Linked DNA regions of Canis lupus familiaris. The protein of the gene in region 1 purifies or fractionates together with the protein of each later gene. This does not show direct contact. Links are inferred from orthologs where the notes say so. Each region holds a gene or a part of one and is shown in the gene's direction. Other genes may lie near its edges. The genes, in order: SHC1, KDR, LRRK1, RET, AP2M1, INPPL1 and GAB2.

What was found.
Region 2: the proteins of SHC1 (region 1) and KDR purify together in Homo sapiens (affinity purification with western blotting; 3 studies listed by BioGRID and IntAct, with this or other methods). This does not show direct contact. The link is inferred for Canis lupus familiaris from reciprocal best matches to the Homo sapiens genes SHC1 and KDR.
Region 3: the proteins of SHC1 (region 1) and LRRK1 purify together in Homo sapiens (affinity purification with mass spectrometry; 3 studies listed by BioGRID and IntAct, with this or other methods). This does not show direct contact. The link is inferred for Canis lupus familiaris from reciprocal best matches to the Homo sapiens genes SHC1 and LRRK1.
Region 4: the proteins of SHC1 (region 1) and RET purify together in Homo sapiens (affinity purification with western blotting; 4 studies listed by BioGRID and IntAct, with this or other methods). This does not show direct contact. The link is inferred for Canis lupus familiaris from reciprocal best matches to the Homo sapiens genes SHC1 and RET.
Region 5: the proteins of SHC1 (region 1) and AP2M1 purify together in Homo sapiens (affinity purification with mass spectrometry; 3 studies listed by BioGRID and IntAct, with this or other methods). This does not show direct contact. The link is inferred for Canis lupus familiaris from reciprocal best matches to the Homo sapiens genes SHC1 and AP2M1.
Region 6: the proteins of SHC1 (region 1) and INPPL1 purify together in Homo sapiens (affinity purification with western blotting; 4 studies listed by BioGRID and IntAct, with this or other methods). This does not show direct contact. The link is inferred for Canis lupus familiaris from reciprocal best matches to the Homo sapiens genes SHC1 and INPPL1.
Region 7: the proteins of SHC1 (region 1) and GAB2 purify together in Homo sapiens (affinity purification with western blotting; 6 studies listed by BioGRID and IntAct, with this or other methods). This does not show direct contact. The link is inferred for Canis lupus familiaris from reciprocal best matches to the Homo sapiens genes SHC1 and GAB2.

Annotation. Positions count from the first base shown.
Region 1 is NC_049228.1:42,487,026-42,491,412, forward strand, and holds the start of SHC1 (SHC-transforming protein 1), read left to right. Parts: upstream 1-1,529; 5' UTR 1,530-3,187; coding exon 3,188-3,661; intron 3,662-4,255; coding exon 4,256-4,326; intron 4,327-4,387. UniProt on the Homo sapiens protein: Signaling adapter that couples activated growth factor receptors to signaling pathways. Participates in a signaling cascade initiated by activated KIT and KITLG/SCF.
Region 2 is NC_049234.1:48,244,987-48,249,246, reverse strand, and holds the start of KDR (vascular endothelial growth factor receptor 2 precursor), read left to right. Parts: upstream 1-1,224; coding exon 1,225-1,291; intron 1,292-4,260. UniProt on the Homo sapiens protein: Tyrosine-protein kinase that acts as a cell-surface receptor for VEGFA, VEGFC and VEGFD. Plays an essential role in the regulation of angiogenesis, vascular development, vascular permeability, and embryonic hematopoiesis.
Region 3 is NC_049224.1:40,487,861-40,492,412, reverse strand, and holds the start of LRRK1 (leucine-rich repeat serine/threonine-protein kinase 1), read left to right. Parts: upstream 1-1,644; 5' UTR 1,645-1,661; intron 1,662-4,552.
Region 4 is NC_049249.1:4,124,664-4,128,463, reverse strand, and holds part of RET (proto-oncogene tyrosine-protein kinase receptor Ret), read left to right. Parts: intron 1-1,030; coding exon 1,031-1,297; intron 1,298-2,094; coding exon 2,095-2,382; intron 2,383-3,393; exon of another isoform or gene 3,394-3,800. UniProt on the Homo sapiens protein: Receptor tyrosine-protein kinase involved in numerous cellular mechanisms including cell proliferation, neuronal navigation, cell migration, and cell differentiation in response to glia cell line-derived growth family factors (GDNF, NRTN, ARTN, PSPN and GDF15).
Region 5 is NC_049255.1:17,241,147-17,245,646, forward strand, and holds the start of AP2M1 (AP-2 complex subunit mu), read left to right. Parts: upstream 1-1,688; 5' UTR 1,689-1,807; intron 1,808-3,850; 5' UTR 3,851-3,893; coding exon 3,894-3,967; intron 3,968-4,500.
Region 6 is NC_049242.1:26,025,494-26,029,293, reverse strand, and holds part of INPPL1 (phosphatidylinositol 3,4,5-trisphosphate 5-phosphatase 2), read left to right. Parts: intron 1-240; coding exon 241-304; intron 305-389; coding exon 390-540; intron 541-743; coding exon 744-864; intron 865-1,111; coding exon 1,112-1,252; intron 1,253-1,499; coding exon 1,500-1,593; intron 1,594-1,698; coding exon 1,699-1,788; intron 1,789-1,961; coding exon 1,962-2,060; intron 2,061-2,169; coding exon 2,170-2,320; intron 2,321-2,422; coding exon 2,423-2,529; intron 2,530-2,816; coding exon 2,817-2,919; intron 2,920-3,005; coding exon 3,006-3,202; intron 3,203-3,524; coding exon 3,525-3,642; intron 3,643-3,800. UniProt on the Homo sapiens protein: Phosphatidylinositol (PtdIns) phosphatase that specifically hydrolyzes the 5-phosphate of phosphatidylinositol-3,4,5-trisphosphate (PtdIns(3,4,5)P3) to produce PtdIns(3,4)P2, thereby negatively regulating the PI3K (phosphoinositide 3-kinase) pathways.
Region 7 is NC_049242.1:20,669,742-20,673,541, forward strand, and holds part of GAB2 (GRB2-associated-binding protein 2), read left to right. Parts: intron 1-412; coding exon 413-713; intron 714-3,800. UniProt on the Homo sapiens protein: Adapter protein which acts downstream of several membrane receptors including cytokine, antigen, hormone, cell matrix and growth factor receptors to regulate multiple signaling pathways.

The DNA of each region.
Region 1 (4,387 bases):
GTCCTTATTGGACCGCGCTGCTTACGTTAGTCAAGAATGAGCGTAGGGAAAAAATATGCCTCTAATTGGCTATTCCTGCCCCCGTGCGCGTTCTCGCATTGCCATTGGCTGATTCGGCAAAGTGGGACGGCTGAAGGAGGGACGCTGAGGTAGAGGGTCAGGGGTTAGTGAGGCCGGAAGTGAGTGCAATAAAGTTTCTTCAGGGAGGCCAGGCCGGGGAGAAAGTTGGAACGGCGACCTAAGGAGGCAGTGGCGTGATCCGGAACCAAATCGAGCCGCGGTGCGGTGCGGAGACTCCATGAGGCCCTGGTGAGTTAGGTCTTCTCCCTCTCCTAAGGTGACCCATTCCTCCACCCCGGAACCCCTCTCCCGGGACCCTACTTCCGGTCTTCATGTGCAAGTCCCGCCCCCTGAGACCCCCCTCCCCGGAAGTCCCACCCCCATCTTCAGGGGGCTCCCCGAACCCCGACTTGTTTTCTGTGTATTGTCCACGACCCCACCCTGCTGCCCAGCTTTCCTGGAAGTCCCACCCCCGAACATGCTTCCAAGTCCGACTGTGAGAAACCTGACGGTAGTTCTCTGAGTTCCGATTCTTCGCCTTCTGGCGACGGGTCCCCCAGGAGGCCAGAGCCCCGCCCCTCCGAGGCCCGGCCGAGTGCCGGCAGCCCCGCCCCAGAGGCTACGCCTTCCGAGAGGCCCCGCCCCCCGCCTGATGGCGTCGGGCGGTGCTGTAGCCTCGCCTCTTACAGTGCCCGGTACCCGTGATGTGGGGCCCATTCCCCCTGGGCAGCGTCCAGAGTGGGGCGGGCTCCGCCCCTCGGAGCGCTGTGGTAGTCCCGAAGCCCCTTGCTGACACAGCTTCTCTTCTCCTTGGGCTTGGGGCTCAGCTCTGCGGAGCCAGTGCTTCTGCTCCAGCAGGTGGGGCGAGCCGGGCGAGGTCAGGGGCCGCCCTCCGCCTCCCTTGCCCCTCCCCCTGCCCCGCGGAGAGGGGCCTGGACTTGGGGTTTGGCGCCAAAGGGGCCGAGAGACTTGCTCCTGGGTTCCCAGCCCAGGACAGACTCCGCCCCAGAGACAGCTGTAGGGCTAGCACCCGCACCTCGGGAGCTGGTAGGGCCGTGAGGTTGGCGTGCAACCTGCGGGTGCACCAGGAGCTAGAGTGTCCTGCTGCCTGGAAACGGTGGCCTGGCGTGGGTGGAGGGGACAGTGGCCTTTTTGCTGTTTGAGTTTTTTTGTTTGTTTAGTTTTTTGGAAGGGACTCCCCAGCCCCCGCCGCTTCTTGGGCTCTTCCCCTCCCCCCCAAGCAGAGCTCTTGTCTGGGCATTCCTCCTGGTCCCGCTTGCCCAGCCTTCCCTTCTGGAAACATTCCTGAGGCTTTCGCCATTTCCTGCTACTTGCCTCCTCCTCCCCGCTGGGCTGAGAAGCCTGGAGCAGCTCCTCCCCACACACCCAGCCACACTGACTCCCTGTAGGCCATCTCCTTTCCTATGCAAATTTAAAGAGCCCGACTTCCTCCTTCTTTCCTTCCTAAGGCCCACACCTGTGGGCGGGTCCTCGCTTCTGGATTGTGCAGACGCCGGCAGGGGAGGACGTCCTGGCCTGTGTGCAGGGGCTGCAGAGGCCAGGGTAGAAGCCTTTCCTCCATCCCTTTAGGCCAGAGAGCTAAAGGCCAGGGGAGAGAGTTGAGCACAGTATCTAACACGATTTGAGTGTTAGTATTATTAGCTACTAGTTTGCATCTTTGTATCTTCTGCAGTTTAAGAATAGGTAATTCCAAGGTGAGCATAGAGGTTGTATTTATCTCTAGTGCTTTTTTGGTGACTTTGCCTCTTCCTTCAAGGTCCCCTCTAGTGGAGCTGGAAGCTGTGCAGAAGGGATGGGCCCCAGCCCGTCCCTGGCACCCCGGCTCAGATTTGTCTTCCTCTCCCTCTGTGCTTTCATGGCCTGTCCTTTCCTCTCCCCACTTCTCTTGGAGAACTGTTGTACTCTCCCACCTCCTCCAGTGAGACTCTACCCCTGGTGTTGGGTGCACTGTGCTCCCTGGGCACACCTAACCTTCTCCACTTAAGAGAAGGAGTATGAACATGCCTGGCAGGACCAGGAAGCCAACCCTTGTGTCAGTGCCCTGTCACCTATGTGACCCAGGAAGCCGACCCCTGTGTCAGTACCCTGTCACCGAATTGCCCGTGACAGCCTGCTTTGCTAACTAGACCTGTGGGATGGGGTACAGAAGAGTGCTTGGCTGTGGGCTGCTGCCCCTGGCATGGTAGGTGCCAGCCATGGAGGGCAGGACTCCATCAGCCCGTCCCAGGCTCCAGTTCCTGCCTGAAGGTTCCCTGGTGCACCACCCAGGTTGGACTTTGTTCCCGTTACTTCTCCAGCTTCGTGCTTCCTCTTGGGCCTTCCCTGCGTCCACTGGGACCACTTGGATGCTTTCCTCTTCCCTTCACCACCTGTTCCCAGCTGTGGTAGCAGAGGGCGCTAATGGCCCAGGCTCCCCAGAGCCACCACCCCACGGTGTGATAGGGCTGGAGGAGGGGGGGCATTCCAGCAGGACAGGAACAGAAGTGCTGAGCTCAGGGGTCCCCTCCTTTCCACTCCCAGCTCCCTCTGTTTCCTGTCCCGGTCCCCCTACCCTCCCGCAGCTTCCTGCTCCCTGTGGCCTGCCCATGTCCTGTGTGGATGGATCCAGACCTCTTCTTATTTCCCTCCTTTCCTTCTCTTTCCCACATCCTTCCTTCCCACTCCACTTTACTCCTCCCCAGATTACTGGTGGTTTGTCTCGGGGCAGGGTGGGGGCACCGAGAGCTTTATCCCTGCCAGAGTTCTAGGCTGGGGCTGCTGTGGGGGCTTAGCCCCTTGGAGCCTGTGAGTCAGCACTGTCCTCGGGATTGGTCTCTGGCCTTCCCTCCCCGCCCCTGGGGAGGAGCCAGGCTGCTTCTGGTCCAGCCTGTTCTCTTCTCCGCCTGGGAAGAGGCTCCACGCTGGGCGGGGGATGGGGCCTGAAACTATCTGGGTCTGAGCCTGGGGCCGCTGGTGCCACTTGTCACTCTCCCTCCCCAGGATCCTTGAGATCCCTGGGCCATAGAATCCGAGCAGACTAAAGGCCTGGGGATGCCCCTTGCCTGGCCCCCTTGCCCTGACTGGCAGGGGGGCCAGGCTGGGCAGCAGCCTCCCTCTCACTGCAGCCATGGATCTCCTGCCCCCCAAGCCCAAGTACAATCCACTTCGGAATGAGTCTCTGTCATCGCTGGAGGAAGGGGCTTCAGGGTCCACCCCACCGGAGGAACTACCTTCCCCATCGGCCTCCTCCCTGGGGCCCATCCTGCCACCTCTGCCTGGGGATGAGAGTCCCACTACCCTGTGCTCCTTCTTCCCCCGGATGAGCAACCTGAAGCTGGCTAACCCAGCTGGGGAGCCAGGAAGGGCCTCTAAGGATGGGGAGGGGACTGGAGGGGCCGCCGTGCTGGACTCAGCCCCCCTGCCCCTCCTCCAGGACATGAACAAGCTGAGTGGAGGAGGCGGGCGCAGGACGCGGGTGGAAGGGGGCCAGCTGGGGGGCGAGGAGTGGACCCGCCACGGGAGCTTCGTCAATAAGCCCACACGGGGCTGGCTACATCCCAACGACAAAGTCATGGGACCTGGGGTTTCCTACTTGGTTCGGGTGAGTGAATGTCTCCCATTCGGTCCTCCCTGCTCCCTCCCAGACTCCTTCCTCTGCTCACTCCAGCTTTGCCGAGCTGGGAGCCTCTCGTTTTCTGCTCTTGCCGGTACCTCCCTTGGTTTCAGGATCGCTTCTCACACCTCTCTCTTCCCCTTTCTTATTCTGCGGCCCCTCCCATCCAGCTCTGCCTGGGCCCCTTACTTCTGGTGACTCCCCCACCCTGCCATGCTTAGCACAAAGCCCAGCACGTTGCCACCCTTAGTAAGTGTGGGAATGAGCGGTCCTGATTGTATCCTCCAGCCTCCTCCCTCTGGGGATGTCACCTTCCCCACCCCCCACCCCAGTGCCCATCACTGTCCTCGAGATCCTCTTCCCAGATGTCCAGGCCCTCCTGGCTTGCTCGATCCTCCGCCCCTCATTTCCTGTGGTCTGGCACATTGTGGGTGTAGCCGCAGGCTGTGGGCAAAACTTGGTCTTCACTCTTCAGAGTCAGCCTTTTGGCTAAGATCAAGTGTAGGAAGCACTCAGGGGAAAGGCCTGGGACTCTTTTTGTGGAGGGGGTGCTGACTCGTTACCTTCCTTTCCTCCTTTCAGTACATGGGCTGTGTGGAGGTCCTGCAGTCAATGCGTGCCTTGGACTTCAACACCCGCACCCAAGTCACCAGGTTAGTGGGGAGGGGGCAGACTGGGGATTCCTGAATTAATGAGGGGAGAGGGGGTACATAG
Region 2 (4,260 bases), on another chromosome or scaffold:
CGCTTCATTGCTTCTCCAGGGAAGCCGGCCTCCTTCTCACGGGGCCTAAGGCTATCTTGGCTGGGAGCTCTGTTCTGCAGAGGGGCCTGGTCACAAGCCCAGGAGGACTCACGTAGGGGCTCGTTGTCAGCTAACACGGTGGACAGAAGTCCTAGTCTCAAGGCGACAGCCTCCTCGGGGAGGGGCGACTCTCACGCTGCGGGGACGCTAGAGCCCTGGGTACCTGCAGCTCCCTGGAGCCCTGATGTCGGTTTTTGGTAAAAAGCAGGTAAGGGGTACCAGTTTAATCGCCTTTGGGGGGGGGGGGCGGCTAGGCTGCAAACCTACAAACATCTGAAGCTGCCAGGTATGAGAGGAAACAGGGAGAACTCTGGAGAACTGAGCGGGTGCAGATCCTGACTGAAGGCATTCAGATTCAGATTTTTAAGCTACAATTTTGCTGGCCAAGCAAAACACTCGACCTGGCTGCACTCGCTGCGGGTTTGCGATCCTGCCTGCGCCCGGGCTCCGTGCAACCTGCTGCTGGCCCCCGTCTGTCCGTCCCCAGCCCCTGGAGGGACGCCGCGGGCGCCGGGGACGGTCGCACATCCCGGAGCCCCCCGCAAGGCTCAGAGCCCCCCGCCCCCATCTCCGAGGGCCCCAACCTCCTGAAGCCTGGAGGGTCGCAGAAGCCCTGCCCCGGCCACGCCGCATCGCTACCCGAAGGGGGGTTGCTGCGCTCGGGAGACCCGGGGCCAGGCGCCGGCCCAGGCGAGACGTAGCGGGCCCCGGGGGCGGGGCTGGGGGGCGGGGCCGCCGGCCGCGGGGAGCCACGCCCCTCTGGGCCACGCCCCGGTAGGGCCCCGCCCACCCAGGCCCCGCCCCTCCAGGCCCCGCCCCCAGGCTCTAGAGTCTCGGCCCCGGCTCCCACCGCGCACTGAGCCCCGGGACCCCGGGAGCGCGGCCGGTGCACCGTGCCGTCCCCTCGGCCCGCGCGGGGCATCACTTGCGCGCTACGGGAAGCCCAGCGCCGCCGCGCCGCGCGCATTTCCTCTGCCCGCCGCCCCCGCAGACGCCCCTGCGCGCCGTGGCCGGAGCCCGGGCGCCCCCGCCCTGCCCCCCGCGCCGCACGGTCCTGCGCTGCGGCGCCCGTCCCGCCTCCGCGCCTTCTTCTCGGGGCGGGCCCGGGGAGGAAGAGCCGCGCCGGAGTCCGGGGCGCTGCGCCGCGCCGCGCGCGAGGTCGGGATGGAGAGCAAGGCGCTGCTGGCCATCGCTCTGTGGCTCTGCGTGGAGACCGGGGCTGCCTCCGGGGGTAAGGAGCCCACGCCCCAGAAGGACGGCGGAGAGGTCGGGCGCGGGCGAGAGACCGGGGATGCCGAGAGGTCCTGCAGGCCCGCCTGCCCCGGAACCGGAGAGCCGGAGCGAAGCGAAGCCACTTGACAACTCGGTCGTTTTTTTTTTCTTTTTTTTCATTTGCCAACCTGGAGGCTGACGCTCTTGGATTGGCCCAAGGGTTTCCAAAGAGTTGGTGGTCTCCAGAGCCCCGGTTCCTTGCAGAAGGTGGCCTCCGACCCGGGCCTGCGGAGCTCTCGGGAGGGCGGGCGCCCGCGGCTGGCAGCAGGAGGTGCCCGGCGGGAGGGACGCCGCGCAGGGAGCGCGGGCCAGTAGCTCCCACCGCGCCGCGCGCTCCGCTCGCGGAGTCCAGGGGGACCCCGGGGTGCCTTTCCCTCCGGGCTGCAGCCCACAAACCCACCCACCGTGTAGGGGGTGCGGCTCGGGAGGGAAACTTTTTTTTTTTCTTTTCCCCTTGATGCTGGATGCTGCTCTCCTTGCAGGGAGAAGGTGAAAGGGCTCTCAGCCCGGGGGGGGGGGGGGGGGGGGGTTGTGACAGCTTCCCCAAATGTCTCCAAGTAACAGTCACCTTCTTATGTAAAACAACGGCATCTTTCAAAGCTCGGGTCCTTGGGATAAGCGCACGGTCAGAAGTTCAAGTTCTGAAAACTTAACTCTGCGGGACTCGGTAGCTAGAGTTAGCGCCCCTCGGTTCTTTCCTTGCCACCTAAAATGTCAGTCTCCTTCAGGATTAGGAACACACATGCTCTTGATGCCATGAATGTCTGTCTTTCCCTCTTCGCTCTACTCAACACCCTCCCCTCCCCGCTCCCCCACGCGCCCTTCTCGTATCTCTTTTCTGTGGCCAGAGTTTGCCGATTTCCAGATTTCCACTCTTCGGAGGGTGAGAAAGGGGAGAGGGTGGAGGGAGGAAAAAAAAAGTCAGATAATTCGGGGAAAAATTCCTTACACTGGAATAAAAGAATCGCATGTCTTAAAAAAAAAAAAAGAAAAGAAAAGAAAAGAAAAGGCATTCGTATACAGTAACAAGATCATCTATCTATAGTTATTAAATTTTCTTAATAATGACTTGGTTCATCGGGGCCAGCTCCACCATGGACACTCATTTGTCCCTGACAAGACCTCGCTCTCCCCCTTTATGGTCTGGAACATGTGGTTGTTCAGTATCCCACAAAGAAGTGAGTTGCTTCTAAGCCTGGGGTGTTTCATAGCGCAGCAGTAGTAACTGCAATCGGGTTGCCCTGAATATAACGATGAGGTTGCCCTTTTGGAGTGTGTGACTTGCTTAATTGGATTGGGCTATAATTGGTGCCATCAAATTCTAGAGACAGAGGCACTGTTGTTTTTCCTTCCTGTCTTTGAGCTGGAAGGGTAATAGCGCACAAATTAATTAATTTGGGTTAGAGGATTTGAACATAGAAGGGCTTTTTATAGAGTAGCAGCATATGTACTTCTTGTAGTTATTTCTTTAGAATTTTCTGAAGAGTAGGACTTAAACTTGCCCATGGAAATGAATGAAGCTTAGTGGAGGAAAACAAAATCGAATGTTGGTTGGTCTACAGATACGAATTTGGAGTTATCCTTATTGATAGAGGCTTGCTGAAAAGATTTTTGTTGTATACATGTCTCTAGGATAGTATGGTATTGTCTTAGCTTCCTATGAAGGGGGAACATATCTTTAATTAATTTTTTTAACATAAGAAAGTGTGTCCAGAGGGTGAGATAATCCGTGACAATAATTTATGAGAGATCTTCAAGAACCTCTTATTTTGCTGGTAGGACAAACATAGCTTATTTAGAGCCGTACTTTTGCTACATTTTTTTTCTCACATAAATGTGCCCAAATAATCCGTTCTTTCTCATTTGGATCATTGTACAAATTGTATTAAGTTACTGCTTTCAACATGTTTCTCAACCTAGTGTTTCCCAGCCAAGTTTGATACTTGAACTCATCCGAATCAGTTGTTTTTATTTTCCTTTTCTTAAACAAAGTGAGACTTCATTGTTGGAAGGCTTTTCTATTGCTTTAAACACTTTGCTTTATTGTTTGTCTACTTTGAGGACAGTTTTTTCCTTCCATATTGAAAAGTGCTACGCTAATTAACTGAACATGATAAGCCAGATCAACAGCTGTCCAAGAGTATCCCATAGACCATGTGTGATCAAATCATGTTAAGTGCTTGTTAAAATGCAGATTTGGAGGGCTAGGGATGTCTTACACGTCCTAAAGCTTAAGAATTATTGGCCCAAACACAAGTCAGTACCAATACCAATGAGTTTCTGAGATTTACTGATGCAACTTAATTTCTAGTGTTTTTTTTTAAACTATGATATTGATCAACAAATCTGCAGTTGTGTCAACAACCTACTTTGTACATCTGGGTGAGTGTGTAGAAATATATGTGATCAGCTGTTTGTTTTGTCTGTGGCCATTCACTTTGGGATCCACAGATTCAGTGTATTAGGTATTTGCACTGGATATTTGCTCACTCTCTCTACTCTTACTTTTTCATATTTGCAAATACTGTCTTATTTACCCAACAAGATCAGGGTAGCTTAGGCCTCAGAAGTCAGTGGTTCTTTAAACATTTTTTAAAATTATTTTTAAAATTCTAGTATAATTAACATACAGTGTTATATTAGTTTCAGGTCCACAATATAGTGATTCAACAGTTCTGTACATTACTCAGTGCTCATCATGATAAACATACTCTTTAATCCCCATCACCTGTATCACCCATCTCCCAACTTACCTCCCCTCTGGTATCCATCAGCTAGTTTTCTATTTTTAAGAGTCTATTTTTTATTTGTCTTTTTGTTTTGTTTGTTCATTTGTTTTGTCTCTTAAATTCCACATACGAGTGAAATCTTTGCTTATTTGTCTTTCTCTGACAAGTATTATTTAAAATAATACTCTGTACCTCTATC
Region 3 (4,552 bases), on another chromosome or scaffold:
TAAAATTAAATAAATAAAATAAAATAATAAATAAAAAAATAAATAAAATAAAATAATAAATAAATTAATAAAATAAACTAAATAAAATAAATCAAATAAAAAATAAAATAAAATAAAAATAAAATAAAATATAAAATAAATAAAATAAAATAAAATAAATAAAATAAAAATAAAAAAATAAAATAAAATAAAATAAAATAATAAAAATAAAATAAAAAAATAAAATAAATAAAATAAAATAAAATAAAATAAAATAAAATAAAATAAAATAAAAAGAGAAGCTGAGTTGCCCAGGCCGCGTTGGCCACATGAGCTCCAGGGTCCTCCCGCCGCCCCTCCCCGCGTGCTGTTCCTCGTGCTGCCACTAGATGGCGGGCCGCGCGCCCCGGAGGCGCCGCACCGCGAATGCCCGGCTCACTCAGCACCGCGACGCCACGCCCTGCAAATTATTAGGGACTTTTCGGTAGCAATCACATTGCTGCTTTTTGAATACTGGAATTAGGACCAAAATATTGAGGACAGGATTGCAAAACCGCACCCACCCTTTTGCAAAGGGCGTTCCGTGGCCGGCGAGCTAAAGGCGCAGCCTCTTGGGAGCAAAGCGAAGCTGCCCCGTGGTGCCCTTGCCAAGGGGCCACTGCTCAGAGTGTCCTTGAGGTCGTGCGGGGGCCCTGCGTCTGCCTGGCGTTTGTGAAATGGCAGTGAGGGTGGTGGCGAGTCTCTGACTTGCGCTAAAGTCCCAGGAGCCTTCCAGTCGCAGCGCAGGAGAGGTCTAGCCTAGGCTGCGGGTCCTGCCGGGCTGTGGAACCATCTGCTTCTTACTGGGCCGGCTTGTCTTCCTGTGGTTGGCACGCGGAGCCAGGTCTGATGCCTGCTGCACGTCCCTGCGTCTCTGTGATGCCGTCGGATAATGGTCTCCGTCGGGTGATGAACATACATATCGGGTCGAGACATAATAAATGGCCAACATTCCAGCATGTTTTATCTACTCCCCGCAGAATTTAAAATGATTCACCCAACAGTGACATCTTTCTATATTCAGCCCCAATTAAATTCTTGTGACGGAAGGGGCACCGTTTGCCAAACTCTAAAGCTAGAAAATACCTATTTCTATCCTGCCCTGCACAGAGGTGTAGGTCAGAGTACAGTCACTGCGAGGCCCTGCCTAACCCATACAAGTCCGAGGTTAGCCCTTGGGTTTTGCTCCGGAGCCCGGGGACGGTGGACGACGCTGCGTTGAGCAGAGAACCGACCAATCTTGCGGCTGCGCCCGCCCCGACAGGAGAAGGCAGGGCCCCCAGACCCGGCGGGGTCCGCGCGCTGCGAGGGCTCACGGGCCTCCGGGGCGCGGCGTCGGGGCACCTCCGCGTTCCGGCTGGGGAAACTGAGGCGCCCGCGTGCAGCTCGCCGGCAGCGCCGCGCCAGCCCCCCCTCGCCCGCGCTCGCTCCCCGCCAGCCCGCGGGCCGCAGGATTGAGGAAGTGCGTCTGGGCCCGGCCCGGCCCCCGCGCGCGCGGCCGGAGGCGCAGGGGGCGGAGGGCAGGGGACGGCCAGGCCTCGGTCCGCGCGCCCAGCCCCGCGTCCCCGGCGCCCCGGCCCCGGCCCCGGCCCCGGCCCACGCCCCGCCGCCCCGGCCCGCCCCCGCCGCCGCCGCCGCCGCAGGTAAGCGCCCGTCCGCCCGCGCCGCGCCGCGCCCCGCCCCGCCCGGGACCCCCGCAGCCCCCTCGGCGCCCGGACGGCCGCGTGCTCCGCCCAGGTGGCCCGGGGAGGGGGGCACCGAGGGCGCGGGGGACCCCAGGCCCCGGCCCCGGCCCCGGCCCCGGCCCCGCGGAGTGGGGGAGGCGGCGGGCCCCGGAGGGCCACCCCGAAACCCCGCGCGGGCCGCGGCCGGGAGAAGGCGCGAGAAGCACCAGTGAGGCCGAGCCGCGGCCGGGCGACCACGGTCTCCTCCGCCCCTGGAGAAGGCTCCTTGCTTCGGGCCGGCGCGGGCCGGGTGTGAGCCGGGTGTGAGCCGGGTGTGAGCGCGAGCGCGCAGCGTGCGGGCGAGTGTGCGTGCGTGTGTGCCGGGGAGCAGCGCCCGCACCTCCCGCCGGGCTGGGGCTGGGGCTGGGGCTGGGGCTGGGGCTGGGGCTGGGGCTGGCCGGGCTCCTGCGCTCCCGCCGCTGCGGGGGAATCCGCCGTCTCCGCCACCCTCCTCCGCAGACACGCGACAGGTCCGCGAAGGGGCCAAGAGGGGAGCCCGGTTAGGTGGGGGGCCGGGGGAGGTGGCGAGGGAGAGCGTGGGGACCTCTGGCCCGCTCAACCTGCCCCTGCCCGTTTGGAGGCCTGGAAGCTTTCTCCCGGAACACATCAGCAGGGGTCGGAGAGGCAGAGAAAACAGCAGCCTGTGGCGAAGGCTTCAGCAAGGCTCTCAGTGAATACACTCTTTCTAGAGGGTGCCGGCCCCTCAACTTGGTAACAAAGTACCCAGACATTAAAGGGACAACTAGAAGAGGTGCCATTTGGGACGACATTAACATGAAATGCTTTTTGTGATTTGACTCTAATTATCTTTGCTTCCGTCCCTGAAGAATTAAAAAAAAAAAATTAAAAACAAAAATCTCACATCTGATTTGTCCCTAAAGGAGGTTTTGGGGTCAGGGAATGAGCCCATAGTCAGCTCACTTGTTCGCCTTTCCTCTATCCCATACCCTCATCCCTTGAATTCTGTGAACCATCAGCAAGTTCTGTTGGGCTTACCTATGTGTCTGGCTGAGTCCAACCTTTCTTTCTCATTGTCTCCACCTTAGTCCAAGGTACCAGCATTTGTTTCCTGCGTGATTACAATCCTCCCCTCTCCAATTCTTTATGTGACAGCCAGAGAGTCTGTGCGTGTGTTTTTTTTTAATAGGTAAATCAGAATGTGTCAATCCTCTGCTTAGAACCCTGCCATAATTTCTCCTTGTGATTGGCATGAAACCCAGGACACCTCCTTCCCCTCAGTTGATATGGAGTCTGGCATCATCAACCACCTGGCCATTGCTCATGCCACCCTCTACCCCACCCCACCCCACCAGCCACCATGGTCCAGCTGGCTCTTCAGCATATGGCCTCTACATGCTGACCCCTGACTCCTCATACTGCCAGCCACCCCCTGTAAGCCCAGCCTCTTTCTCACATCCGCCCCCCCCCCACCCTTGCTGTCTTTTGCAGTCTCCACTGGTATTATGGTCCCTCTTCATCTATTTGCTCTCTTCTTTAATTGCCTGGCACTCTCCTGGAGCTCCAGGGGTCAGAGACCATTCCTAGGCACCAGCATGGCTCACTGCTGCGTCTTCACGCCCAGAACTGTCTGAGAGGTGCCCAGTACACCCTGGCATACAGATTGAATGGCGAATGGACAGTCTTAACTTGTTTGTGGTTTCAGACTCATGAAGGGCTTCTGTTCCCAGACCTTTGGGTGTTCATCTAGGACTGAGATCTACACATTTCTCTGGTCCGCAGCCCCTTGATATTTTGAAGTCCATGAATCCATTACACACATTCTGTAGGCAAGCCGGTATGTGGTCAGAGGAGGCTAGTAGTGCCAAAGGATTGTCAAGGACTATGGGCCAACCATCTCTACCATGCTTTCACTAAAAAGAATTACTGGATTATCTGAGCTGACGTGCTCATTTGCAAGTGTCTTCTAGCTCTTTGGTACTGACAATCCTTTCCAAGCCTCCTGAAAAGACAAGTAAGCAGGTCCAGGGTCTCCTCTATTTCTCCTCAGTCAGAAATTTTGTGGCAAGCACTTACTTAACTGTGCCTTCCCACCAGCTTTAAGTTTCATGAACACATGGAGTTCACTCCTCATAGAAAGGGCCCAATAAAAACATTTGCGGGATGAATGTCAGCTTCCCCTTTTCTCTTTTTGATTAAGCATTCAGTTTTATTCATTACTGCACGTATAAGGAGCAATGAAAAATTGGTGAGGTTTTAAAAAGTATTAAAATTATTACAGAAAACCTCTTGAAGTCCTCTTAAGGCTGTATGCACCACAATGAAAGGAAGACATGTAACTTACAACCATGATTTGTTGCATTGGTCTGAGCCCAAAAGAAGCAGGAAGAAGCAAAGATCCGTTTGAGGGCAAAGATTGAGCAAAAGTTGAGTTACCTCATTTTAAACCTTCTACCTTAGAGTCTAAGCCAACATACAAATTACAGTTGAAAAACTGTGCCAGTGGTAAAATCCTCCATCGGTAAAGAGATTTTCAAAAGGAAACTGAAAATGAAAAGGGGAACAAAATGTGCTGGCCGAGGGTTGGCCTAAAATATTTTAAAGATTTAAAAAAAAAAAAAAAACTTAAAAGCACTCTATGGTAAGACACTTCTGTTTTCAGAAGGCAAGTCTACTAGCATTTGGATTTTTTGAGGTGGTACTGGGTAGATGTGGTAGCTGATTTTAAGACGTTTGAAAGCAGATGGCCACTGTGCTCCTTGGTGTCTGAGTGTTACTGCAGGATTTAGAGCCTTTATTTTAAAACAAATTGTTTTGCTGTTCCTCTGACTTCTTGTCTCAAGTTGATTTTC
Region 4 (3,800 bases), on another chromosome or scaffold:
CATAGGATTCCGTGGTGTGAAAACTACACTTTGCATATCCACTGACCTGCTGAAGGGCATCTGGGCTGTTGCCAGTTCTTGACTGTGTGAATAACCCTGCCATTTGTGAATAGGTCATTTAATGGACATATGTTTTCATTTCTCTTGGATAAATTCAGTGGGATTTCTGGGTCAAACGGTAGGAGTGTTTAACTTTAGATAAAGATTTGTTTCTCTTATAAAGCGCCCGGGTCCAGGGACACCTAGGTGGCCCAGTTGATCAAGTGTCTGGCTCTTGGTTTTGGCTCAGGTTATGATCTCATAGGTGATGAGATCAAGCCCGACTACAGGCTCCAAGCACAGTGGGGAAAACTGCTTGAAGATTCTCTCTCTGCCCCTCCCCCAATATGCATACACTTGCATGTGCACGCTATCTCTCTAAAATAAATAAACCTTATAAATGAATGAATGAATAAGGTGTCCTGGTTCATTTTAGGTGACTGTTGCCTGCCCTGCTTGTCTGGCATCCTCGTGTACACTTGAAAACCTTGGGTTCAGGTGATTTGGTGAGAAACCAGGGTAAACTCCCAGCTTTTATCAAACTTGGGTAATTGAGAATGATTTTATAGTGGTTTTATACTGCCTCCTCCTCTCTTTATCTATTTTACAGCAATCCACTTGCAGCTTGTGTTTAGCTACACAGATAGTTGTGTGTTGATGTTAGGATTATAGGTAAGAAAGTCCTATGAAGATCAGAATTTTATTTATTTCTGTATTTATGTATGAAAGTCTTTAATTCTATAAATTCTGGAGGCTGAGATCTCTTTCTTATAATTTCAGAATGAGGAGACTCCTAACTTACACACAGTTTTGCTTATAAACTATTACTTATGCTAGATTGGAATTTTAGTTAGTAAAACTTTTGGTCCATAGAGAACCTTTTATCAAAGTGTGAACTAAAGCTGCTAGAGAGTGCTGGTCTGCCTGGGAGGTCTGCTCTGGATATTGTCATCACCACTCCCTCCCTCACATGCTTCCCTGCTTTCTGCAGCTCCACTGGGACTCTACTTCTCCAGGGATGCTTATTGGGAGAAGCTGTATGTGGACCAGCCATCTGGCATGCCCCTGCTCTATGTCCATGCCCTGCGGGACATCCCCGAGGAGGTGCCTAGCTTCCGCCTAGGCCAGCACCTTTACGGCATCGCCTACCGTGCAAGGCTGCATGAGAACGACTGGATCCGCATCGAGGAGGACACAGGCCTTCTCTACCTTAACCGGAGCCTGGATCACAGCACCTGGGAGAAGCTCAGCATCCGCAGTAAGGGAGCTGCCTGACCCCACCCTGTCTTCTTCTCTCACAGCCCACATCACACCCACACTGAGGCTCGGGAAGGTGGCTCCTGTGTGATCCCTGCTGTGTAAGAGTGAAGGGTGAGGTGCAAACATAGGGGAGTGGCCGCTACCCTGGGGCTGAGAGAGAGGACCCAGGAAGAGTCCTTATCACTCTAGCAGAGATCCAGACCTTGTTGGAGAAAGAGCCTCCATGATGGAGTTTGCTGGAAATTCCCCCCTCCAGGTGCTGGGAAAGTCTGTCCTCTGTCTATGGGTGTGTCTCTGCAGTGGCGCCGATGAGGAAAGCCCTTGGGGAGGGTTGGGGAGGGTGAAGACCCCCCCACCCATGCAGTACATGTGCACCATGCAAAGTAGAAACCAGCCTGGCAAAGCTCTCCACCTGCTATTAGACCCAGGACTCAGGGCACCCCTCTGAGGGGGCAATGATGCAGTAGAGGCTGGTGGGGAGAAATAGGAGGAATAGTAGACCCCAGTGCTCAGAGCACCTGAGGGAGTGGTATTTGAGCTGAACCTGAATGACAAGAGAGGCAGGCCTGTGAGGCACCCTAGGCAGAGGGAGCAGAACCATGGGACCATGAGCAGAGACAGGCATCCTGGTCTAGGGCAGCTCAGGGCAGGCAGGAGGTGGCCAGGCAGCGTAGAGAGCCCAGTGGAGCCCTGTGGACAAGGGTGAGGACTGGACTTTCCACCAGCCCTGGAGCTCCTGCCCCCTCCCCTGCTGGTATGGTGATGCCCCACCAGGCCTGACTTCTCTGTCTACAGATGGCGGCTTCCCTGTGCTCACCATCTACGTCCAGGTCTTCCTGTCATCTGCATCCCTGCGTGAGGGCGAGTGCCAGTGGCCAGGCTGTGCCCGTGTGTACTTCTCCTTCATTAACACCTCCTTCCCAGCTTGTGGTTCCCTCAAACCCCGGGAGCTCTGCTTCCCTGAGACTGGTGTCTCCTTCCGCATTCGAGAGAACAGGCCTCCCGGCACCTTCCACCAATTCCGTCTGCTGCCCATGCAGTTCCTCTGCCCCAACATCAGCGTGTCCTACAAGCTCCTAGAAGGTGAGTGCTGACCTCGCAGAGTGACCCTTGGTGCTGCTGTATGCCAGGTATGGCACCACCAGCTCTTGACAGCCATCTGGTGTACTCTGCACCACCACACCACCCTTTCATTTAATATCCCAGAAATATTTCTTGTGTGCCTGTCATGAACCAAGTACCGTTCTAAGGGCTAAAGATGTGACCGTGAACAAAATAAGTCACAATCTTGCCTCCCTAGAGCCTCCATTACCCCTGGGAAGTGGAGGCCATGCTCATGCCAAGGCAATGGAGGTGATCTCTGGAACATGCTAGTTGGGAAGTAAACTTCCAGGAATGTGGAGTGGTGGAGACTGTGGTCCTCTGTGCCCTGGCTGGGAAAGGGAGCACTGGAGCCAAGGTGGGAGGGTACCAGGGAAGCTGTGCTAGCCCCTTTGATCGCTGTGGTGGGGCCACTGTGTGGCTGGACTGGGGAGAGTAGAGGCACATGAAGATACAGAAGTTCCTGAGGATTTCCCCTTGAGGGACTGGGGAGTCATGGAAGGCTTATAGGGGGTGGCACTGACAAGACCTGACTTACCCCTAAAGGATTATTCCAGCTGCTATGCTAGGAATGATTCGATATGGGCAGGGGAGGGTGGAAGCAGGGTTACTACCTGAGAAATCCCTAAGCAACAGAATGAAGACTGGAAGAAGGGTGGAAGCCACAGAGCAGCGAGAAGCAGGTGGCTTCTGGGCATGTTTTGAAGGAAGATCCAGCATGATTCCTTGATGAGTTGGATGTGGGTGTTAAGGGAAAGAGGGGAGTCAGTGTGGTTCCAGGATTCCACCTGAGCAGCTGCAAGGGTAGCCAACTTGGCCACAAGATGGCCCTGGGGAGGCTGGCCAAGGTGAGAGCAGGCGGTAGATCCCCAGGGAGTTGAGAGAAGCCACCTGAACAGATCCATGACAGGAGGCACCATCGAAATATCCAAAGCAAGAAGGTGGGACACAGAAGGCACACTGCTAGTTAGGGGGACGTGGATTCACACCAGGTTTAATTGCATACACACGGCAATGATGTTAAAGCAGATCTCAGTAAGGTAAGGAAAGGAGCCAGCCACTCCCCCAGCCTCCTTCCATTTGCCCTGCAGCTGGGCTAAATGTCTTTGTGCAAGGTTGTCAGCCACACATCAGGTTTAGCAGGCTGCCCTTCCTCATGAAGATTACATAATTAAATTTTGTTGAGCATGTGTTTTGTAACCATAAACAACAGAGAGAAACATATGATAAGCATTTCCCAGGTGTAATTCATATATAATATGTGGCTCTGACGTGAGGGACCGAGGGATGCTTGTTCTCCCATGCAGTGGAGCTGACGTAACCCTCCATGCTTGGCTGTGAGGGTGGTCAGTGTGGACCTTCAAGCCCTCAGCATTTCCCCCTTTTTCCTGAAGGATGAG
Region 5 (4,500 bases), on another chromosome or scaffold:
GCCACTGATACACTGGTGATTCTAAAATGCCTATCTCCAGCCACAACTTCTCTCCAAATTTTAGATCTGTGTTATCCACTGGACGTCACCATGGACATATCTATATGGACTCAACTCATTTCCCCCATCAAGTGTGTTCCTCCTTAATTCCAACTCTGATGATCTTTAGCACAGTCTACATAGGCATACCAGCTAGGAACATTTATGGACTTAAATTCTTCCCCAACTCTTACTAGTCAGCATATCATATCCATTCCACTTCAACAGTCTTTCTTGAATATGGTCCTTCTTCTCCCCCCGCCTCTACCCTAATTCATAGGAGCACGGGATTTGGAGTCAGGTTGTTCTGGGCTTGAATCCCAGCTCTACTACTTTTTGGTTTCGTGATAAGAGAGTTACTTAATCTCTCTGAGCCTCAATTCCCTCATATGTAAAATGATGATAATAATACCTACCTCACAGGGTTGTTGTGAGGATTTAAATTAGACTTGTACGAAAAGTGCCTAGCACAGTGCCTGGCACAGAGTAGAATAGGTGCTCAATAAATGGTAGCTATTATTATTACTACTACTACTATTATTATTTATTCTAAATTGGTAGGGTATTATTGATTGAAGATAAAGCTTTTGGAAAGGTAGCAGTGAAGATCTGAGTGCCGGTTCAAGATTTAGAAATGCCTGTATTCAGTCACTTAATGGATTCACATGGTGACCACTGTTTGAGGAAGGCCAGATCTTCATCCTGCCACATTCTGGCTTCTAGCAGGAGGATGCTGGGACAGTAGGGTTTGTAACCAGGTTTGCCCTTTTTTGCCCTTCCTCCCATGATGGGCTCAGCACCAGTGAAGGCATAAGGGAAGCTCTCCGTACAGAAAGAGAAGAGCTAACATTTTCTTCGGGTCCTGTAAAAGTCAAGCAGGGCTTTCATATCTGAGGGTTTGCTCTGTCTTTTCTTCTCAGCTTGGGTGTGAAGATTAACTCTGTTCATTAGAGAAGGGATTTCAAGTTCCATGTCCAGCTAAACTTGCCAGCAGTTTTTTAAGCAACATATATGCCATCACTAGAAGGCACACAGGTCCTGGCCTCAAGGGGTCACATAGGTATGTGTAGTTGGGATAGAACAGACATTCTTGAAAAGCTTTGGCTAGTTTCTTACAAGTATTTGCCTCCTCCATCTTTGCCCTTTTACTTGGGTCTTGATCCCTGGGAAGAGGCTCACATCTGGAACAAATATTTGATGAAAAGTCTTGGGAAAATCAGAGCTGGTGTTAGAAAGCAGTAAATTTAGTGCAAACACTTCTGCCAAGTCGTGTGTGTGTGTGTGTAAAGTGAGCACAGCCAGTGTTCGGACTCCAGAGACGGAAAAGGCCTACAGCAATCTCAAGCTTAACAGATGGGCTTCAACAAATGGCATTAATCCTCCGAAGCTCTCCTAGACGCTGAACAGGATGGATTGCAGACTACAATTCCCAGAATGCTCGGTAGGGAAAATGAAGCGAGTGGAGCGGAGTATGATGGGATGTGGCCACGCCTATCCCTCCCCAAGGCACGCCTAACCCGCTGAAGGCAGTCGGTAGTTGTAGTCTTCCTAAACCTAGAAAGGCTAAAATTGTAAGCTAGAAGGCCGAAGGGCCTGACGGGATTTGTAGTCGGCTCGGTCGCCGGACGCGCACGCGCAACTGTGTTCGGGGCGGGGCCACGGCACTGCGGTGAAAGCCGAGGCAGCGGGCTGGCGAGCAGGGGGCGGGCGGACATCTTGGGATCTGGAGAGTGGCCGGGCGGGCCGAGCAGGCGGCCGCGGACGCCAGGTAAGCTCGGAATCCGGCGGAGAGTAAGGGAGAACGCGTACCCCGCTACCCAGCTTTGCCCTTCCCTGCACTGCGCTGCGCGAAAAGCTGCCCACAGCCGGGAGGGGCCTCAGCCTTCTGATCTGGAGCTGACGGCGGGGCGGGGGCGCCCGGGGCGCGGTTGCAGGGTGGGCAGGGAGCGGCGCCCTCCACCGGCAGTCCGGCGCCTTCCGTGACAGGGAGACCTCCTGGGGTCCCCCCGGAGCCAGGATGCCGCGCGGCGCCCCCTTCCTCGGGATCGTGACAGCCCCCCTGGTGCCTTGGCGCCGCCTCCTCCCAGCGCAAGGACAATTCCCCCATCTCCTCGACGGTGACACCCCCTCGGGCCGTCTCCCTGGGCTGTGACAGGCCTCCCACCAGCCGCACCCCCTCCCCCCAGTTGAGTGACACCCCTCGGCTCTTCTTCCTCAGACCTGTGACAGCCCCCGCAGCCCCGTGGAGCCATGTTCATCCCCGCGATGTCTTGCTCCCCTAGACGAAGAGCCCACCCCCCGTCATGCCTCCACACTTGAACCCTAAAGCAAGTTAACGCCGCCCCAGCTTTCCCCTATTCGCCACTTGTCAGTCTCCTCCCTGCTGTTTCAAAGTCTTGACCTTTGCCACACTGGAAACTCCTTCCTCCAGATGTCCCCGTCCCCCCCCCCGCCCCCCAGCCCCCAGCCCCAGCCCTCTTGCTGCTGCAGGTTCACCTGACTAGACCGCCTGGCTCCTTCTGCCCGTCCTTCCCCTTAGCTCAGTATTCCCCTCCTGCCCTGGGCCCCACCTCCGCTCCTTCGGTGCCCTGCGGCCCCTACCACTTGATATCTGTGAACTTGCTTCTTTGCCCGGGGCTCTACCTCCCATTTTTCATTTCCTTTCCCAGCCTTTTTTGGGACTCTGGGGTGGAATGTGTCCACCACCACCTTGAGAGACCTCTCACTGAGTTGGGGAGACCCTGATGGCCTCAGTAATAGGGCTTTATTTTCCAGTTTAGAAAAGTCTGCTAAACTCCCTCTGCCCTGTAAAATCAATACCAGAGCTAATTCAGGAAATCTAGAATTAAATTAACCCTTTTTCTCCTTGCAAATATTTTGACCCAAATAATTTGGATAATGCACACCTATTCTCTGCCCCTTCCTTATAGGTACTCAGGCCAGAAATGAGTTATGTCATGGTTCTGGAATCATAGAATGTCAGCTGGATTGATCTTTGTGTTTTATAAACCTGTACTCCCACCCCCTTATTTTTACTGCACTTGGGAACTGAGAGGGATCCTCCCTTTTTGAAAGGGAGGTGGTTAAAAATAACTAATAAGCAGCTTGGGTCATTGAAGTGTAGTCGGCCAAGGCTGGGCCCTTTCTCCTCTGCTCTTTTGCCTGCTTATCTGACTGCCTGGGATTGGTTGGAGCCACACTCCAGGGTCTGTGTCAGGGCCTAAGGCCTCCCTTGTCTCCTCCCCACACCCTGCACACCCTTTCCTGGAATGTTTAGACTTCTGTGAATTAGAGAGCCACAGGTTCAGGCCCTGCTGTCTTCTCCGAAGGGTTAGTGGAGCCTGAGAGACCGGGTGCTCCTAAAGCCGTGCCTGGGGGCCCCAGGCCTGAACCAAGTGGAATAATTCCTACCGCCATTCCTGCAGCCGCAGGCAGGCCTTCCCAGTGACTCACCGGCTAGAGTCTGAGTGAGAGTCTGCACAGGAAGGGGCCAAAAAGGATCTGTGCTGAGCTCAGCACTGAAAAGAGGGGGAGGGGGCTACACTCTGGGCTCAGCCCCAGGAAAGGGAGGGTCAAAATGGCCTTAGAATCCTGGGCCCAAGTCCCTCTCCATTTCTTTCTCCTTTCCAGTGTGAGATAAACAGGAACTGGAGCCTGGCTAAGGGGAGGGGCATGCCTGGGGAGGGCTTCAGGGTCACTTACTGGAGGGTTGAGTCAGGAAAAAAAGCCCAGCCAGTGACCTGCACAGCCCCACAGGGGATGTTGGCAGAGGTTCTGAGGCCTTCCCTTACCCTGCCTCCGCCTGTCCTAGGTCTGTTCTCAGAGCGATGGGCCTTGGAGACTGAGCTGCCGCCATGATTGGAGGCTTATTCATCTATAATCACAAGGGGGAGGTGCTCATCTCCCGGGTCTACCGAGATGACATCGGGTGAGTCCCCTGGCTGAGCCAGCTGTGTCCCCACCCCTCATCCCTCCTCCCCAGCATGCAGGACCAGGTCCGTTCCTACCAGAGACTGGACTTTGGCCACCCCCATCCCTCGCTGCATCTTAGAAGCTCAGCTAATACAATCTGGTTCCCATTAGGTCTGGTGGTATTGGCCTGGCAGCCAGTTATTGGCCAATAGGTGGGACCTGTGGAATGGTGTGGCCCCCCACAGTCTTAGGAACTCTTGTCCTTCCTGCCTTCTCCTTTCCTTAGTGACAGACCTAGTTGCTAGAAATGAGTGCTTTTGCCCTGGTAGATGAATTCCTCCCTTGAGGAGGAGGGAGATCTTTCTCCAGGGGGTGAAGTTAGTGGACAGGCTAGTGGTACTAGTCCATCTAAGTCTTGCTCTCAAAAGCCCTTCTCACGGTGAGAGCCTTCACTGAATTCTCTTGAAAGCTTCTCCAGGCTGCCAAATCCTCTCCTACTCCCTTTCTCAGGAGGAGGCAGGCTGCTGACTCAGCTGTTTTCAGTTCCTC
Region 6 (3,800 bases), on another chromosome or scaffold:
GGCCAGGAGGGGGGCGGGAGTGGTGGTGGGGGGAGGCTGGTCATTCCTGCTCTTGTTGGCAACACTAGCAGGATAGAAGTGGACTGGCCTCATCATTAACCCGTGAGCAGCCTGAGCAAAGGGTTTTAGGAAAACCAAGCTGAGGGAGCTGGGTCCTGAGCCTGGTAGCAGGAGGAAGGCATGCCTTGGGGCTTAGCCCTAGCCAGGGGCGACAGGTTCTGATCCTCGCTTTGTCACTAGGTATCAGAAGCACGTGCACACATACCGAATCCTACCTGATGGAGAAGACTTCCTGGCTGTGCAGGTAGGAGTCTGGCCCCTGACCCTGATTCCACCCTGTAACTTGGGGTCAGCTGGCTGACACTTCTCCCACTCCTGCTGATTGGCAGACCTCACAGGGCGTGCCCGTGCGCCGTTTCCAGACCCTGGGCGAGCTCATTGGCCTGTACGCCCAGCCCAACCAGGGCCTCGTGTGTGCCCTGCTGCTGCCTGTGGAGCGGGAGCGAGAGCCAGACCCACCCGACGACCGTGATGTCTCAGGTGGTGCTGCACGCTCTGCCACGTGCAGATGCCTTCCCTGCCCCTTCCCCAGGCGCTGCCTGCTTCTTCCCCTCCCATTTTCTCAGTCCCCCTCCCCTAAAGCCCCCTTGCTCCTACCCATGATGCTGGGGCCCTTTACCCCACTTCCATGGAAGCATCTGAAGACACAGCATCCCCCATACTTCACTGACTCCTGTTCACAGATGGGGAGGATGAGAAGCCTCCGCTGCCCCCACGTTCTGGCTCTACCAGTATTTCTGCCCCCGTGGGGCCTGGCAGCCCCCCAGCAGCCCCTGAGACTCCCACAACTCCAGCTGCTGAGAGGTAAGACCAGAAGCCTCCACAGGGAACAGGAATTCCCCTTTCTCCTCTGAGAACCTTGTCCGCTTGGGGGCGGGGGCTTCTAAGCCCCCACTCCACCCCCAGGGGCCCTCATCCCACCTCAGCCCCAGGGGCAGACACCCTGATCCATGGTGCTCTGATCACTGCCAGTACCACCTCTAGGGACAGGGTGGGAGGGCCGGGACAGGGTCAGCAGGTTCTTCACCGACTTCTCCACCCCTCCCTGAAGTGCTCCCAATGGGCTGAGCACTGTCTCGCACGAGTATCTGAAGGGCAGCTACGGACTGGACCTGGAGGCCGTGCGAGGCGGAGCCAGCAACCTGCCCCACCTCACCCGCACCCTTGCCACCTCGTGCCGGAGGCTGCACAGGTACCTGGCACGCGCAACACCGCGCATGCAGCCTCTCCTCTGACCCGTGCTCACCTGCCCCCTGCCCCCTGCACAGATGTCCTGACCTCTGCTCTCTGGCCCGGAACGGGGACTCAGCTGTCGTTTCCTGAATTTTCCTCACCCGTGAACCCTTGGATCCTTATGGTGGAGGCTGAAGCTACACACTCAGCCATCCTTCCCTGTCCTTGGGTCGGGGCGGGGAGTTCTGACCGGTCGTCTCCCCTAGCGAGGTGGACAAGGTCCTGGCGGGTCTGGAGATCCTGTCCAAGGTGTTCGACCAGCAGAGCTCTCCCATGGTCACTCGCCTCTTGCAGCAGCAGGTGGGATTATGGGGGGGGCCTGTGGGGAGTGGGTTGATGTCTGGGGCCGGGGGGACCCTCCTGTTCAGCGGCCTCAGGGACCAGTCTTACCCTTCCTCTGTGCAGAATCCAGCACAGACCGGGGAGCAGGAGCTGGAGAGCCTGGTGTTGAAGCTGTCGGTGTTAAAGGACTTCTTGTCGGGCATCCAGAAGAAGGTAGCCTGGCTCCTGACCTCTGACCTGACCCACCAGACCCCAACTATTTGCAATGACCTAAGTGATCTCCACCCCCAGTCTACACCTCAGCATCGACCCCACTGTCAGCCGTCTCCCTCCCAGTCCCAGCTCTCTGCACATCCCCTGACCTTGCCTGCCCTTACTCGCCCCAGGCACTGAAGGTCCTGCAGGACATGAGCTCTACGGCCCCGCCAGCCCCGCCGCAGCCGGCTATACGTAAGGCCAAGACTGTGCCTGTGCAGGCCTTTGAGGTACGCAAGGAAGTGTTGGGGGGACCCCTGGGGCAAAGGGCGGTGGAGGGTGGAGGGGGTGGTATTTGCCCGGGGTCTTTTCAGCAGCCCCCCACCTCGTGACCTGCAGGTGAAGTTAGATGTGACCCTGGGTGACCTGACCAAGATCGGGAAGTCACAGAAGTTCACGCTCAGCGTGGATGTGGAGGGCGGGCGGCTGGTGCTGCTGCGGAGGCAGCGGGACTCACAGGAGGACTGGACGACCTTCACACATGACCGCAGTGAGCCAGGGCCCGACCTTGGGCGGGGGGGGGGCGGGGGGCGGGCAGGGCAGCCTCCGGGCCTCAGTGCACGGGCCAGTGTGACCGGCCTCCATCCCCTAGTCCGCCAGCTCATTAAGTCCCAGCGTGTCCAGAACAAGCTAGGCGTCGTGTTTGAGAAGGAGAAGGATCGGACACAGCGCAAGGACTTCATCTTTGTCAGCGCCCGGGTGAGCAGCGTGTTGGGCTGGCCCCCTGCAGGGGTTCCTGGGGGCTGGAAGGAGAGGAAATGTGTGATGCAGGTGACCCGTCCCTCCTGACAGGGCAGACAGTGTATGTATGGAGATGGGTGGCCCGAGGGTAGAGGCAGATAGATGTTCATTTGGTGAACATTTCCTGAGAGGTGTCCTCTGCTTGAGTAGTGGGTGTACAGTGGTGGACCAGACAGGCGTGTCCCTCCCCTCATGGGACCTGCCACCTACCAGGGACCTCCCCTAACTGGCTGTTGTCCCCCCAGAAGCGGGAGGCCTTCTGCCAGCTACTGCAGCTCATGAAGAACAAGCACTCCAAGCAAGATGAGCCGGACATGATCTCTGTCTTCATAGGCAGTTGGAACATGGGTCAGGCCCGGGTAGGGCTGGGGTGGGAGAGAGGTCAGGGGTCAGGGTCAGGGGCCTGACCATCACCCCATCCCCTTCACCTCCAGGAAGCGTGCCACCTCCAAAAAACGTGACATCTTGGTTCACATCAAAGGGTCTAGGGAAGACCCTGGATGAGGTCACGGTGACCATACCCCATGACATCTATGTCTTCGGGACCCAGGAAAACTCGGTGGGTGACCGCGAGTGGCTGGACCTGCTACGCGGGGGCCTCAAGGAGCTCACAGATCTGGATTACCGCCCGGTGAGAGAGGGTCATCCTGTCCAGTCTCCCCTCCTCAGACCCCAACCCAAACGATCCTGCTTGACCCCACAGGCCACCCGGGGAGCACAACTTGCCTGCCTTTCCCTCTGGCCCCCGGGGTATCCTTTAGGAAATCTAATGAGTGCTTCATGCTGTAGGAATGTGCTCTGTTTCTCTCTGGCCCTTCAGGAGAAAGGGTGGCAGCCCTTCCTATCCTGTGACTGACGGTGCCCTCTCCAGTATAGACAGGGGTGGGGTGGGGGGCATGGAATGCGGCAGTGCCCCAGCCCCAGGCAGGGATAACCGCGAGCCTTCTTCCCAGATTGCCATGCAGTCGCTGTGGAACATCAAGGTAGCCGTGCTGGTCAAGCCAGAGCATGAGAACCGAATCAGCCATGTCAGTACGTCCAGCGTGAAGACTGGCATCGCCAACACCCTGGGTGAGCGGGTGGCCAGGATCCCTCTGTCCACACCTCCTGCTTCCTCTCCAGCTCATAGTCTCCCCCTTTCAGGTGGTCTCAGTTTTCTCCTATATAGAGCCCTTTGAACTCTGTAAAGCATGTTCATATTCTAAATGTCTTCCAGCACCACCAGGAAG
Region 7 (3,800 bases), on another chromosome or scaffold:
CCAAGAGTCGGATACTCAACCAACTGAGCCACCCACACACTCTGAGTAGCCAACTTTTTAAACTGACCTTTAAGTTGCAGAAATGCTCTCTGATATTTGTTTGGGCTCATCCCCAACTAGGGCATGATTGAGAAACAGGTTTCTTCTGAGGCAGGTGCAGAGCCTAAATCAGTAGTTCTTAAACCTGGTTGCATGACAGAACTAAAGAGAAGGAAATGTGAAATATTGCACTAACATGCATTCTAAAATCATCCTCCATTTTTTAAACTCCGGGGAAGTATGAAAGAGAGGGGCCATGTTAGGCCTGCAGGTACAGCAGTCTCCATCCTTAACCTGGTGATTTCTGAGCACCTGTGAGAAGCTTTGAAAAACTAATGACTTTTTCCCTCTTTTCTTCCTCCTCCTCATCCAGGCCTGGAAGAAACGCTGGTTTATCCTGCGGAGTGGCCGGATGAGTGGTGACCCGGATGTTCTGGAATACTACAAGAATGATCACTCCAAGAAGCCCTTGAGGATCATCAACCTGAACTTCTGTGAGCAGGTGGATGCAGGCCTAACCTTCAACAAGAAGGAGCTGCAGGATAGTTTTGTATTTGACATCAAGACCAGTGAGCGCACCTTTTATCTGGTGGCTGAGACAGAGGAGGACATGAATAAGTGGGTCCAGAGCATCTGCCAGATCTGTGGCTTCAATCAGGCTGAGGAGAGCACAGGTAGGAGAACAAACATGAACCTTTCTCTCAAAGGGCAGGGTGCTTCCTGGAGGGGGCTAAGCACTTGGGGCTAAGATGAAGGCCTTCAGATCTTTGAGCAAGGATAGCAGACTGTAGCTAAAGGCTCTCCTCTTTGGCCACTCTAGGTCCAGAGGGATCCCTGGCCCTAATTACATTTAAATGGGAGTCTGAGATGCGTTGAAGTTATAATGAAGCTAAAGGTACTTGGTGATATTTCTTCGGGTACCTTAACACCCCCCACTTTGTCAGCCCTGCACCTTCCACCCCTCTCCTCAGCTTTCTAGCACTCTGTGCTCTCACCTATCTCTCAACCCACGGGCGGCTCACACCTCGATTCCTTCCTGGTCCACCTCTGTCTGGTGGATTTCAAACCATCAGACCATCCTGCCCAGTTACTTGCCACTTTTTTTTTCCTTTGGTTTGAGGTCCTCTGTGATTGTTGTTGATATCTAACCTAGTGTTCTTCTGTATTCACTTGGAAGGAGACAGGTGGAAGGGGGAAATACAGATTTATGTTTCGGTTTTGTTAACTTTCACAACACAGTAGCCCAACTTTTTATTTATTTATTTATTTGAGAGAGAGAGAGAGCACGTGTGTGAGCATAAGCAGGGGTAGGGGCAGAGGAAGAGTAGAGAGAGCCCCAAGCAGATCCCCTGCCACATGCAGGACTGGACATGGGGTTCCACTCAGGGCTCATCATGGGGCTCAATCCCATGACCCCAAGCTCACAATGTGAGCCAAAACCAAGAGTTGGATACTCAACCAACTGAGCCACCCACGCACTCTGAGTAGCCAACTTTTTAAACTAACCTTTAAGTTGCAGAAATGCTCTCTGATATTTGTTTGGGCTCATCTCCAACTAGGGCATGATTGAGAAACAGGTTTCTTCTGAGGCAGGTGCAGAGCCTAAATCAGTAGTTCTTAAACCTGGTTGCATGACAGAACTAAAGAGAAGCATTTTTTAAATGTTGATGCCAAAGATCCATGCCAAGTCAGCTCTCTAGGAATCTCATGGGTGGACCTAGGCGTGAGTGTCTTTTCACAACTTCATTCTGAGTAGCGAAGGTCCAAGGCACCCTTGCTTATTTTTTATTGCTGAATAATATTACATGTATAAAATTTTCTTTATCCATTCATCCGTTAGTGGACACAGGTTGTTTGCATGTCTTGGCTATTGTAAGTAATGTTTCAATGAACATGAGGGTGTGGATATCTCTTCAAGATAATGATTTCAGTTCCTGCAGATTATATACCCAGAAGTAGACTTGCTGGATCATATGGTAGTTCTATTTTTAATTTTTTGAGGAACCACTATACTGTTTTCCATACTACCTATACCAGTGTATATTCCCACCAGTAGTGTACAAGGGTTTTCCTTTCTCTGCATCCCTGCTAGCACTCCATATCTTTTTGATAATGGACAGTTAACAGGTGCGAGGTGATCGCTCATTGCAGTTTTGATTTGATTTACACTTCCCTGGTGATTAATGATGATGTGCACCTTTTCAGGTAACTTGTCCATATGAATGTCTTCCCTGGAAAGATGTCTATTCAGATCCTATGGACATTTTTTAACTGGGTTATTTGTTCTTGTTTTCGTTTTCGTTCTTGAGTCGTGGAAATTCCTTGTGTATTTTGGATATTAACCCCTTATCAGATATGTGGCTTGAAAATACATATTTCCTTCCATTTCTTTGGTTGCTTTTCATCTTGTTGTTACTTTTGCTGCACAGAAGCTTTTTAGGTTAACGTAGTTCCATTTATTTGTTTTTGTCTTGTTTGTGCTTTTGATGTCATATCCAAAAAAACTCATTGCCAAGACCATTGTCAAGGAATATTTTTTGTTTTCTTTTAGGAGTTTTATGGTTTCAGGTCTTACATTTAAATCTTTAACCCAGGGATGCCTGAGTGGCTCAGTGGTTGAGCCTTTGGCTCAGGGTGTGATCCTGGGGTCCCAGTATGGAGTCCCATATCAGGCTCCCTGCAGAAAGCCTGCTTCCACCTCGGCCTATGTCTCAGGCTCTCTCTGTGTCTCTCATAAATAAATAAATACAATCTTTAAAAATAAAATAAAATAAATCTTTAACCCATTTTGAGTTAGTTTTTGTGATTGATATAAGATAGGAGTCCAGTTTCTTTTCTTTTTTTGCATATGAATACCCAGTTTTCCTAGCACCATATTTTGAAGACACTATTATATTTTCTCCATTGAATATGCTTAGCAACCTTGTCAAATATTAGTTGTCATACATGTGAGGCTCTCTGTTGTGTTCCATTGAGCTGTGTGTCAGTTTTTCTGTCATACCATATTGTTTTGATTACAATAGCTTTGTGATATAGTTTGAAATCAGGAAGTGTAATGCCTCCAACTTTGGTATTCTTTCTCAGGATTGCTTTGGCTACTTGGAATCTTGTGGTTCCATAAGAATTTTAGGATTATTTTTTCTACTATTGTAAAAAATGCCATTGAAATCTTTATTGAGATTTCACTGAATCTGTAAATGGTTTTGGGTAGTTGGACATTTTAACAATGGTAATTTTTCCAATCCACAAACATGAGATATCTTTCAATATTATTTATGTCAAAGTTCTTAATTTTTTAATAAGGGGATACATTTTCAGTTTGCGCTAGGCCCTTGAAATTATGTAGTCTATTGTGCCTGGATTGGTGTTCTCTCCAGGAATTCTCTGATTTTCATCTTCCTTGCAGAAGGATTATTAGTCCCCATTTTACCCTTAAAATCTTTGGTATAATCTTTGTTTCCTGTATAGAATTTCCTGTTTTCCCCAAATCTTTGTCATTTATAGGCTTCATGGACTTTGGTTTTCCCTTCATTTTATTCCTGATGAAGGAATAAAAGCTCATTGCATGCAAAAAGAAACAGACAAGGAGGGGGAGAATAAAAAAGGAATCAAAGGAACATAAATGTGAGAGAGAGGTCCAAAGAATATCTCAGCTTTTTAGAAAATAGGTATAATTGGGAGGAAAGTAATCAGAAAGCAAACTATTTTTAAGTCTTTTAATTCCAGTATGGTTAACATACAGTGTTTTTTTTTTTTAAGAT